2 linked regions of the Macaca fascicularis genome follow. The protein of the gene in region 1 interacts with the protein of each later gene in a biochemical or structural test. Links are inferred from orthologs where the notes say so. Each region holds a gene or a part of one and is shown on either strand. Other genes may lie near its edges. The genes, in order: MTOR and EIF4EBP1.

Evidence for each region.
Region 2: of the proteins of MTOR (region 1) and EIF4EBP1, one has a biochemical effect on the other in vitro, tested with the Homo sapiens proteins (29 studies listed by BioGRID and IntAct, with this or other methods). The link is inferred for Macaca fascicularis from reciprocal best matches to the Homo sapiens genes MTOR and EIF4EBP1.

Annotation. Positions count from the first base shown.
Region 1 is NC_088375.1:223,669,907-223,673,712, forward strand, and holds part of MTOR (serine/threonine-protein kinase mTOR), read left to right. Parts: intron 1-710; coding exon 711-828; intron 829-3,119; coding exon 3,120-3,368; intron 3,369-3,806. UniProt on the Homo sapiens protein: Serine/threonine protein kinase which is a central regulator of cellular metabolism, growth and survival in response to hormones, growth factors, nutrients, energy and stress signals.
Region 2 is NC_088382.1:41,420,512-41,425,014, forward strand, and holds the start of EIF4EBP1 (eukaryotic translation initiation factor 4E-binding protein 1), read left to right. Parts: upstream 1-1,593; 5' UTR 1,594-1,655; coding exon 1,656-1,800; intron 1,801-4,503. UniProt on the Homo sapiens protein: Repressor of translation initiation that regulates EIF4E activity by preventing its assembly into the eIF4F complex: hypophosphorylated form competes with EIF4G1/EIF4G3 and strongly binds to EIF4E, leading to repress translation.

The sequences.
Region 1 (3,806 bases):
AGCAGTTAATAAATGTGGGCTAATCTCATTTCAATGAATGGAGGGGAAGGGAAAAGTAAGGGAGAAGCCATATAGCAATAAGAGAAGTAACTCTCAACAACTGTCACCCACAAAAATTGGATTTGGGGTAGATAGGTCCATATAGACCTATCTGTACCAGGTACCTGGTTTATGCTGTCATTGAGAGACAAAGGTCAAGATGGAAAGATGGTATCTTAAAATTGTATTCCAGGCCGGGTTCGGTGGCTCACGCCTGTAATCCCAGCACTTTGGGAGGCCGAGGCGGGCGGATCACGAGGTCAGGAGATCAAGACCATCCTGGCTAACACGGTGAAACGCCATCTCTACTAAAAATACAAAAAATTAAGCCGGTGTGGTGGCGGGCACCTGTAGTCCCAGCTACTCGGGAGGCTGAGGCAGGAGAATGGCGTGAGCCCGGGAGGTGGAGCTTACAGTGAGCCAAGATCGTGCCACTGCACTCCAGCCTGGGCAACAAAGCGAGACTCCGTCTCAAAAAAAAAAAAATGTATTCCAAAAGCCCATCTCCTTTCTTCCATATGGCTGAAAATTTTGCTGGCTCCTTCACATTGCCTCCTGAGAACAAGAGGAAATACTAGAAGGGCTTCAGTGTCCCCCTAACAATTCGTGGCCCTCTTACGAGGGCTGTTTTGAGGAGGGAGCATCATGGGGGCTTGTTTCTCTGCTTCCAGATGCTTCCTGAAACTTGGAGAGTGGCAGCTGAATCTACAGGGCATCAACGAGAGCACAATCCCCAAAGTGCTGCAGTACTACAGCGCTGCCACCGAGCACGACCGCAGCTGGTACAAGGTGATCAGAAGCAGGGCCGCCTGCGAGACCCAGCACCCTGGCTGGCTTGCTCATGTCCTCTTGTGTGCTCGTGGTTACAGCTGAGCTTCTGTGGAGCTAGGCTGATGCTGTTAATTTGCTTCTTGAGTCCCTGGAGTCTGTCAGTCACAGGCCCAGGGAGCCTGCGTTTCCCCCTACAAGTTTAATTAATACAGAAAGATTATTGTGAGAAATACTTGTTACACCATTATTAGGTGTGTGGGGTGCTGGGGATTGCTGCTGTCTTATAGATTCTGAGCTGCTTGTTTTCCTGGGAGCATCTGGACACATGGTTAATCTCTGGAGCGTCATCTTCCCTTGGGTCATCTGTTCCTGCTCAGCATTTTTCTGATTTCCATCCTTGCCTGCTCCTCAGCTAAGAACTTAACTTTCTTTATTTTTATTGGAAAGATCCAAGTAACATCCTGTTATGTTACAGGAAACTTTTGAAAGAGATAAACAGAATTAGAAAATTTTTAAAAGATGTGATTGATGGAGGGGTGATTTTTGCAAGTATATATCTTTAGTGAGAACACACATTCTCATTTCTTTTTGAGAGGCTTCCTGGTAAGTAGGTGTGGCAGATGTCATTGATGTCTTTCCAGTATCTCCTTGGTTTGCCAATACTTTGTGAATTAATCCCTCTGAAATCTAAACTTGCATCTGAGGACTGCAGAAGCACTTATAATACAGATCTTACCTTTGTTTAGACATGCTTCATTCTGGTTTGCATGAATGTCCAAAGCTGTATGTCCAAAGCTGCATGTCCAAAGCTGGAAAATACATCCAGTAAACACTATTAGCTGGACGCTTATTAATCAGAATTGCATTCTAACCAGAGTTACTTTTCTTCATTTAGCTTTTAGGAAGTAAGCAAATCACAAGAAAAAAGCTGGTTTCAGGAACTTTAGTTTTAGTTTTTAAAAGCATTTCCTAATGTGGGTCCCTTTAGTTTTATAATGTCTTCTACCGTCAACGTCATGGCCCTGTGTGCATGCCAGGACTGCTTGTCTGGTTCACCTTGACCCCAGATCATTGCTAGGCACATAGCAGATATACAAGAGATGTTCGGGGAATAAATGAAGGTATGGAAAAACTGAAACCTGGGTCATTGTAGAATTCTTACTCACCAAGTAAAGGTTAATTGTGATCAGTCTATTCTGCTTAGATGAGAAAACGGATACACCTGTGTTCAAGGTTTTTGGCAAGGCATACAAATGAATTTCCTGATTATTCAGAAAGTTCAGCTATTAATGGGTCACGTAGTGTCCTACTGTCACTGCAGAGTTACCGTGCCTGGAAGCAAACTCTGCCTCACACTTGCTAAACCAAGCAGTGTACGCTATAGAGTCATTGCCGCTCAGAACCCCAGAGAGACAGTAGTATTCCTTTATCCGAATAAGCACCAAGGGTTCGTCCATCAAGCATTGAGCTCTGGTTCTCTGTCAGGCCATGGGCTAGGTGTGGAGACCAGGTAGATGGGTGAGATTCTTTCTCCATCATGCTCCTATGCTCTTCATGTCTTCCTTTGTCCACTATCTGGTGACCTGTCAAGACTTTGCTCCCCTGAAATATTGTGATGACTGCTGCTTGCCCCCACTTCTGCTTGCCGCTTCTGCTCTCCCCTAAATGTACACTTTATATCCAATGCAGCTCTGCTTTCTGGGTGAAAGTGCCAGCCCCGTGCCTGCTCCAGGCATGCTTTACTGGCCTCGCTCTCACTCCTCGCCTGCGTGTATCTCCTGCGCAGTCACATCCATGGGCTTATTTCCCGTGAACCAATCTGTGCATCTCTGGCCTTATCTTCCCCCTTGCCAAGTAGTCCCCACCGCTGCTCTCTTGTTTCCCTCCTTGCCCTTCTGCAGCTCTCTTCCAGACCTACCCCAAATCCCTCTTCTTGACAAAGCTTTCCAAATCCCTGTCCTTGCTACTCCCGTTGCGCCTTGCAGAGTACCTAGGTCTTCAGGTTTGTACGTGAGCTCCCCTAGAAGGCCAGGAGATCCCTTGAGGCAAGAGCTGTCTCCTGCTCCTCTTGCTGTGCCCTTCTCGCAGTGCAGTCACAGCAGTACGTTATATGGTTAGTGCTCCACAAAGTCAGTGGATCATGTTGAATTTAGTAAAACAGCCATTTCTGAGTGTCTCCTTGAAGTGTTTGCTTTATGGACACAAAGAAGAGGCAGGAGCAGCTGTTCCTCAGCATTTACCTTGCACTCCTCTGAGCCCTGCTGTTGGTCACAGCTCCGGTGTCTGTCCTTGCCTTTCTCCCCAACCAGGCCTGGCACGCGTGGGCAGTGATGAACTTCGAAGCTGTGCTACACTACAAACATCAGAACCAAGCCCGTGACGAGAAGAAGAAACTGCGTCATGCCAGCGGGGCTAATATCACCAACACCACCACTGCCGCCACCACGGCCGCTACTGCCACCACCACCGCCAGCACCGAGGGCAGCAACAGTGAGAGCGAGGCCGAGAGCACCGAGAACAGCCCCACCCCATCGCCGCTGCAGAAGAAGGTCACTGAGGTACCCTTCCCTTCTTCCTTATTACCAACCAACCAACGTGCCAGGCTCTCTGAGAAATGGAACTGTTGTTAAGCTTAAAAGGAACCTGAGGCTGTATCTGAAGTGCCAGGTGGAGCTGGAAAATACTGCCTGTCTGCCATCCAGCACTGCCTGAGACAGGGCTTTGTGTGGATATTTGTGTTTGGGGAGCTGACGCAGCCTCCACGCTGAAGAACAAGCTCCTTGTCAAGCTTCCCCGTGGATGAGCTCATTCTCTACGTGCTGCACCTGTGTGTGGGTGGCTGTACACAGCTGCAGGTCCACTCTGAGGATGGGGCTTGGGAGATCCATCCTCTGCCTTTTTCTCTCCACTTCCACTTCTTCCCCTTCTCCTTGGACTGTCAGTTCATAATGCACCAGGGCAGCTGGCAGGCCCAGAGATCTGAGTGTTCAGAGCCT
Region 2 (4,503 bases), on another chromosome or scaffold:
TACTGTCTTAAGCCACTGTAGGCCTAAAGTTTCCCTCAAAAGTGAGACCAAATTCAACAGGTCTCCCTATCTCAGGCCTTGCCCTCCTTGGCCCATCCTGAAACTCCACTGGCTACTAGTTATCTTTCAAAAAAAACAACTCAAATCATGTCATCCCCCTGCTTAAAAGATCTCTGGGCTGGACGCGGTGACTCACGCCTGTAATCCCAGCACTTTGGGAGGCCGAGGCGGGTGGATCACGAGGTTAGGAGATCGACACCAACACCATCCTGGCTAACACGGTGAAATCCCATCTCTACTAAAAATACAAAAAATTAGCTGGGCGCAGTGGCGGGCGCCTGTAGTCCCAGCTACTCGGGAGGCTGAGGCAGGAGAATGGCGTGAACCCGGGAGGCAGAGCTTGCAGTGAGCCAAGATCGCGCCACTGCACTCCAGCCTTAAAAAAAAAAAAAAAAAAAAAAAATCTCTGATCTCTCCTGCCCTTCTAAGACAAAGTCCAAGCACTTTGGCATGATTTGAAAAACTCAATGACCTGACCCCAATTTCCTTTTTAAAAAATTATTATATATTTTTTAGAGATAGGGTCTCTGTCACTAAGGGTGGAGTGCAGTGGTGTGATCACACTCACTGGAGCCTCAAACTCCTGAGCTCAAGCATCCTCCAGCTCAGCTTCCTGAGTAGTGGGGATTACAGGTGCACCACCCAATTTCCCTTTTAAACTTTCTTCACCCTCTTCCCCACAACATGTGCCCACAATGCTAAGAACTTCTCAAACCCAACAAGCTTTTCCATCCTCGGTCCTTCTTGCATTTTTCTCTCTCCCCTTGAACATCCCTCCATCCACCATCCAAGGAGTACCTACTAAATCTCAGGCAGTGGGGTGGGCGTTGGACCCAATTCAGGAGTTATCGGGAAACCTCTTTGACAAACTCTTACCCCTCTCCTACGCCCTTCCCTCTCCCCCTACCCCCGCGCCCTAGCTCTAAATTTAACTCCCAGGACGCCGCTGGTTGGTTCACTCCTCCTCCCACACCCTGTCTAAAGGCCGGGAACAGAATTGTTAGCCCCACCATCCCCACCCCCATCAAGGTCAAGAAATTGAGGCGGGGGAGGGGGTGAGCATGACCACTCAATCCCCACTTTCTCATCTGAGGAACTAAGGCACGAAACAGGGAGTGCCGGAGGGTACACCGGGCCTGATGTACTAAGGCAGAAACCGGGCCTTCCTGCAGTGGGCCGGGTCAGCTCGGATCTCCGCGCGGTCCTGAGTCGCCGCCCCCAACCCAGCCAAGGATTAATTTAGGCGAGCTATCCCGCCCACCACCCCCACCCCCATCCCTGCCAACGTGGCGGGGAGGGACACAGGACAGAGGGGCAGTCGCTGCGGGGCGGCGCCGGCGCCCGTGCGGAAGAGCCCGTGAGCAGGCGTGAGTGGGTCGGGGGGCTGCGGGGGATCCCACGTGGAAGCAACGTCCTGGAGCTGGGTGGGGCTGCGGCGCGGACTACAAATCCCAGGGGCGTGGGCGGGAGAGGCGGAAGGGGCGTCCTGGGGCGGGGCGGGACGGGGCGAGGCTGAGCGGGACCCGGCTAGGCGGAGCGAGGCTGGAGGCGCGGGAGGGCAGCGAGAGGTTCGCTGGTGCAGCGCACAGGAGACCATGTCCGGGGGCAGCAGCTGCAGCCAAACCCCAAGTCGGGCCATCCCCGCCACTCGCCGGGTGGTGCTCGGCGACGGCGTGCAGCTCCCGCCCGGGGACTACAGCACGACCCCCGGCGGCACACTCTTCAGCACCACCCCGGGAGGTAGGCGCGGGCTTGGGGACGCAGCTGGCCGGCTCCTGGGCGGGCGGGAGGATCGGGAATCGCGGATTGGACCGGGTGTCCAGGCTCAAGGGCGCTGTGACTGGAAAGAACGGAGAAGGGGCATCGGGGAGATAGCAAGGGTCATGGAAGTGGCCGCCCGTCTGCCCTCTTGAGTGCGTCGTCCAGACCCAGGTTGCAAACTGCCCCGTTCGTTTCCTCTTTCTGTTAGGTGTCAGACAGCTGACACCTAACAAACACGCACTCTTCCAGGACTGCCACATGCCGAGCTGTGCTGCCCCTTGTGGGTGTTGGGGGCGCTCCCGAGGCAGGATAGGGCGGAGTCAGGGTGGCCCACGATCCAGGAGAGGCCTGGCCTGGTGTTTTTATGGGATGGGTATTATCTGTTGGGATAAATGATTCCTGCAGGGCCCTTTTTCCTTTCCGAAGCACCCCTAGTTTTGCGTTGGACACGCGCGCTCTGACGGAGGTTTGGATGTGGGGGTGCTCTCCTGCTCCAGCAGAGCCTCCCGGGCACCTGTGGCACGTTCCCCATTTTCGCGAGTGGGATCTCCGCGGGGGGGCCGGGCGCCACGGGCAGGGCTGTGCAGAAAAACACGTTCTTCTGTCCGGGGAGAGGAGGAGGCACCGTGTGACCTCCCTGGGAGAGGATGAGGAAGAGGAAGCTGAGCTGGCACGGGTGCGGGGGTGGGGGGGCAGCCTCAGGCTGCCCTCAGGAGCCTGGCATTCCCTCCCAGCCCCGCAACCCCAGCGCACAGACGCTGATGAAACCTACGCGCCTGTTTGCATGATGAAACAAATCCTCGTGGCTCTCCACTCCCCTCCCATCCTCGTACTGCCCCCACCCCTTTGACTTCTCTCCCTTCAATCTCCTCCACGCTGCTTTCCAAACTACTCGAAAACGCGACAGATCCTGGCGCTTCACTCGGTGGCGGGCAGGGGCCACATGCTTATTTTCTCAGGCAGCTGTCCTACCAGCAGCATGCACGGCCGGATCCGAGGTCCTCAGCTATTTGATCCAAAACATACACTGTTAGAACGGTTAGGGATCTTGTCCAGCCCTGCCGCCTTATTCTACAGAGCCGGGCATTGAGGCCCCAGAGCTTGAACACGTGTCTATTGCCCATTGTCACACCGTTTTCCCAGATTGGACAAGAAATAGCAACCAGGCAGAGAAGGGAGGAATGCTTCGTTTTCTATTAGAAATGAGCCAAGGAAAAGCTCGCAGGGGCTCTTATTGCCACTCCCGACTCATCCTCTTTCCCTTGCTGGGTCTTTTGTAGTTCATGCTGTTCTCCTTTGTCCCTGTCACAATGGTCTACCAGGACAATTCCTGACAATTTTGGACTTCTTTCAACTGAGGGTGTAAGTGTCTGCTGGATTTGTTCAGGGTGGGCCCTGAGGCTGGCCTGAAGGCACAGGTAGCCCTTTTTTGCGCCTTTTATTGCTGGATTGTTGGGTCAAATTGGAAGCCACAGATACTGTTTATAGGCACTTCTGGCACGGGTACCAAGGTTCACACCTGTAATCTCAGCATTTTGGGGAGTCGAGGCAGGAGAATTGCTTGAGGCCAGGAGTTCAAGACCAGCCTGGGCAACATAGTGAGACTCCATCTCTACAAAAAAAAAAAAAAAAGATGTCCTAGCTATTACAGAGGCTGCGGCCAGAGGGTCGCTTGAGCCCAGGAGTTGGAGGCTGTAGTGAGCTATGATTGACCACTGCATTCCAGCCTGGGTGACAGAGCGAGACCCTGTCTCTAAAATAAATAATAAACATAAAATATATGAACTTTGAATCCACTTTTCACTTTGGGTTGGGAAGTGGGGAGTAGGCAGGGGGCTGACAGACCACAGCAAATCCCCCTCCTTTTGAAGGTCTTTTTTTTTTTTTTTTTTTTTTTTTTTTTTTTTTTTTTTTTTGAGACGGAGTCTCGCTCTGTCACCCAGGCTGGAGTGCAGTGGCCGGATCTCAGCTCACTGCAAGCTCCGCCTCCCGGGTTCACGCCATTCTCCTGCCTCAGCCTCCCGAGTAGCTGGGACTACAGGCGCCTGCCACCTCGCCCGGCTAAGTTTTTGTATTTTTAGTAGAGACGGGGTTTCACTGTGTTACCCAGGATGGTCTCGATCTCCTGACCTCGTGATCCGCCCGTCTCGGCCTCCCAAAGTGCTGGGATTACAGGCTTGAGCCACCGCGCCCGGCCGAAGGTCTTTAACAGTAGGGGGAGTGGGGAAGGGGCTTCTGCATCAGGGCATAGCATGTTTCTGAGATCACTGGAAGAAGCTAGCAGTGCCAGGAGCCTAAAGCCAGCTCACTCTTTGGGTCATCCAGGTACAGCTCACAGTCCCTAAGCCAGGGAAACCCGGCTTACTTCCACTAAAGTCAAGCAAGCCTGGTCGGCCTCGATTAGCCAAGGTGTGAACTCTTCCTCCAAAGCCCACCTCAGCCCACCTCTGCTAGGGCAGAGAAGCTGAAATGGTCACATCGCAGGACCCTTTTGCTCCAGAGCAGAATACTGCGTCTCAACCTTCCAGGTGCTTGAGGATAACTGGGGGCTTCATTTAAGTGCATATTCTGATTCTGTAGGTGGGGGTGGGGACTAGATTCAGCATTTCTTTCTTTTTTCTTTCTTTCTTTTTTTTTTTTTTTTTTTGAGAAGGGTCTCACTCTGTCACCTGGGCTGGAGTG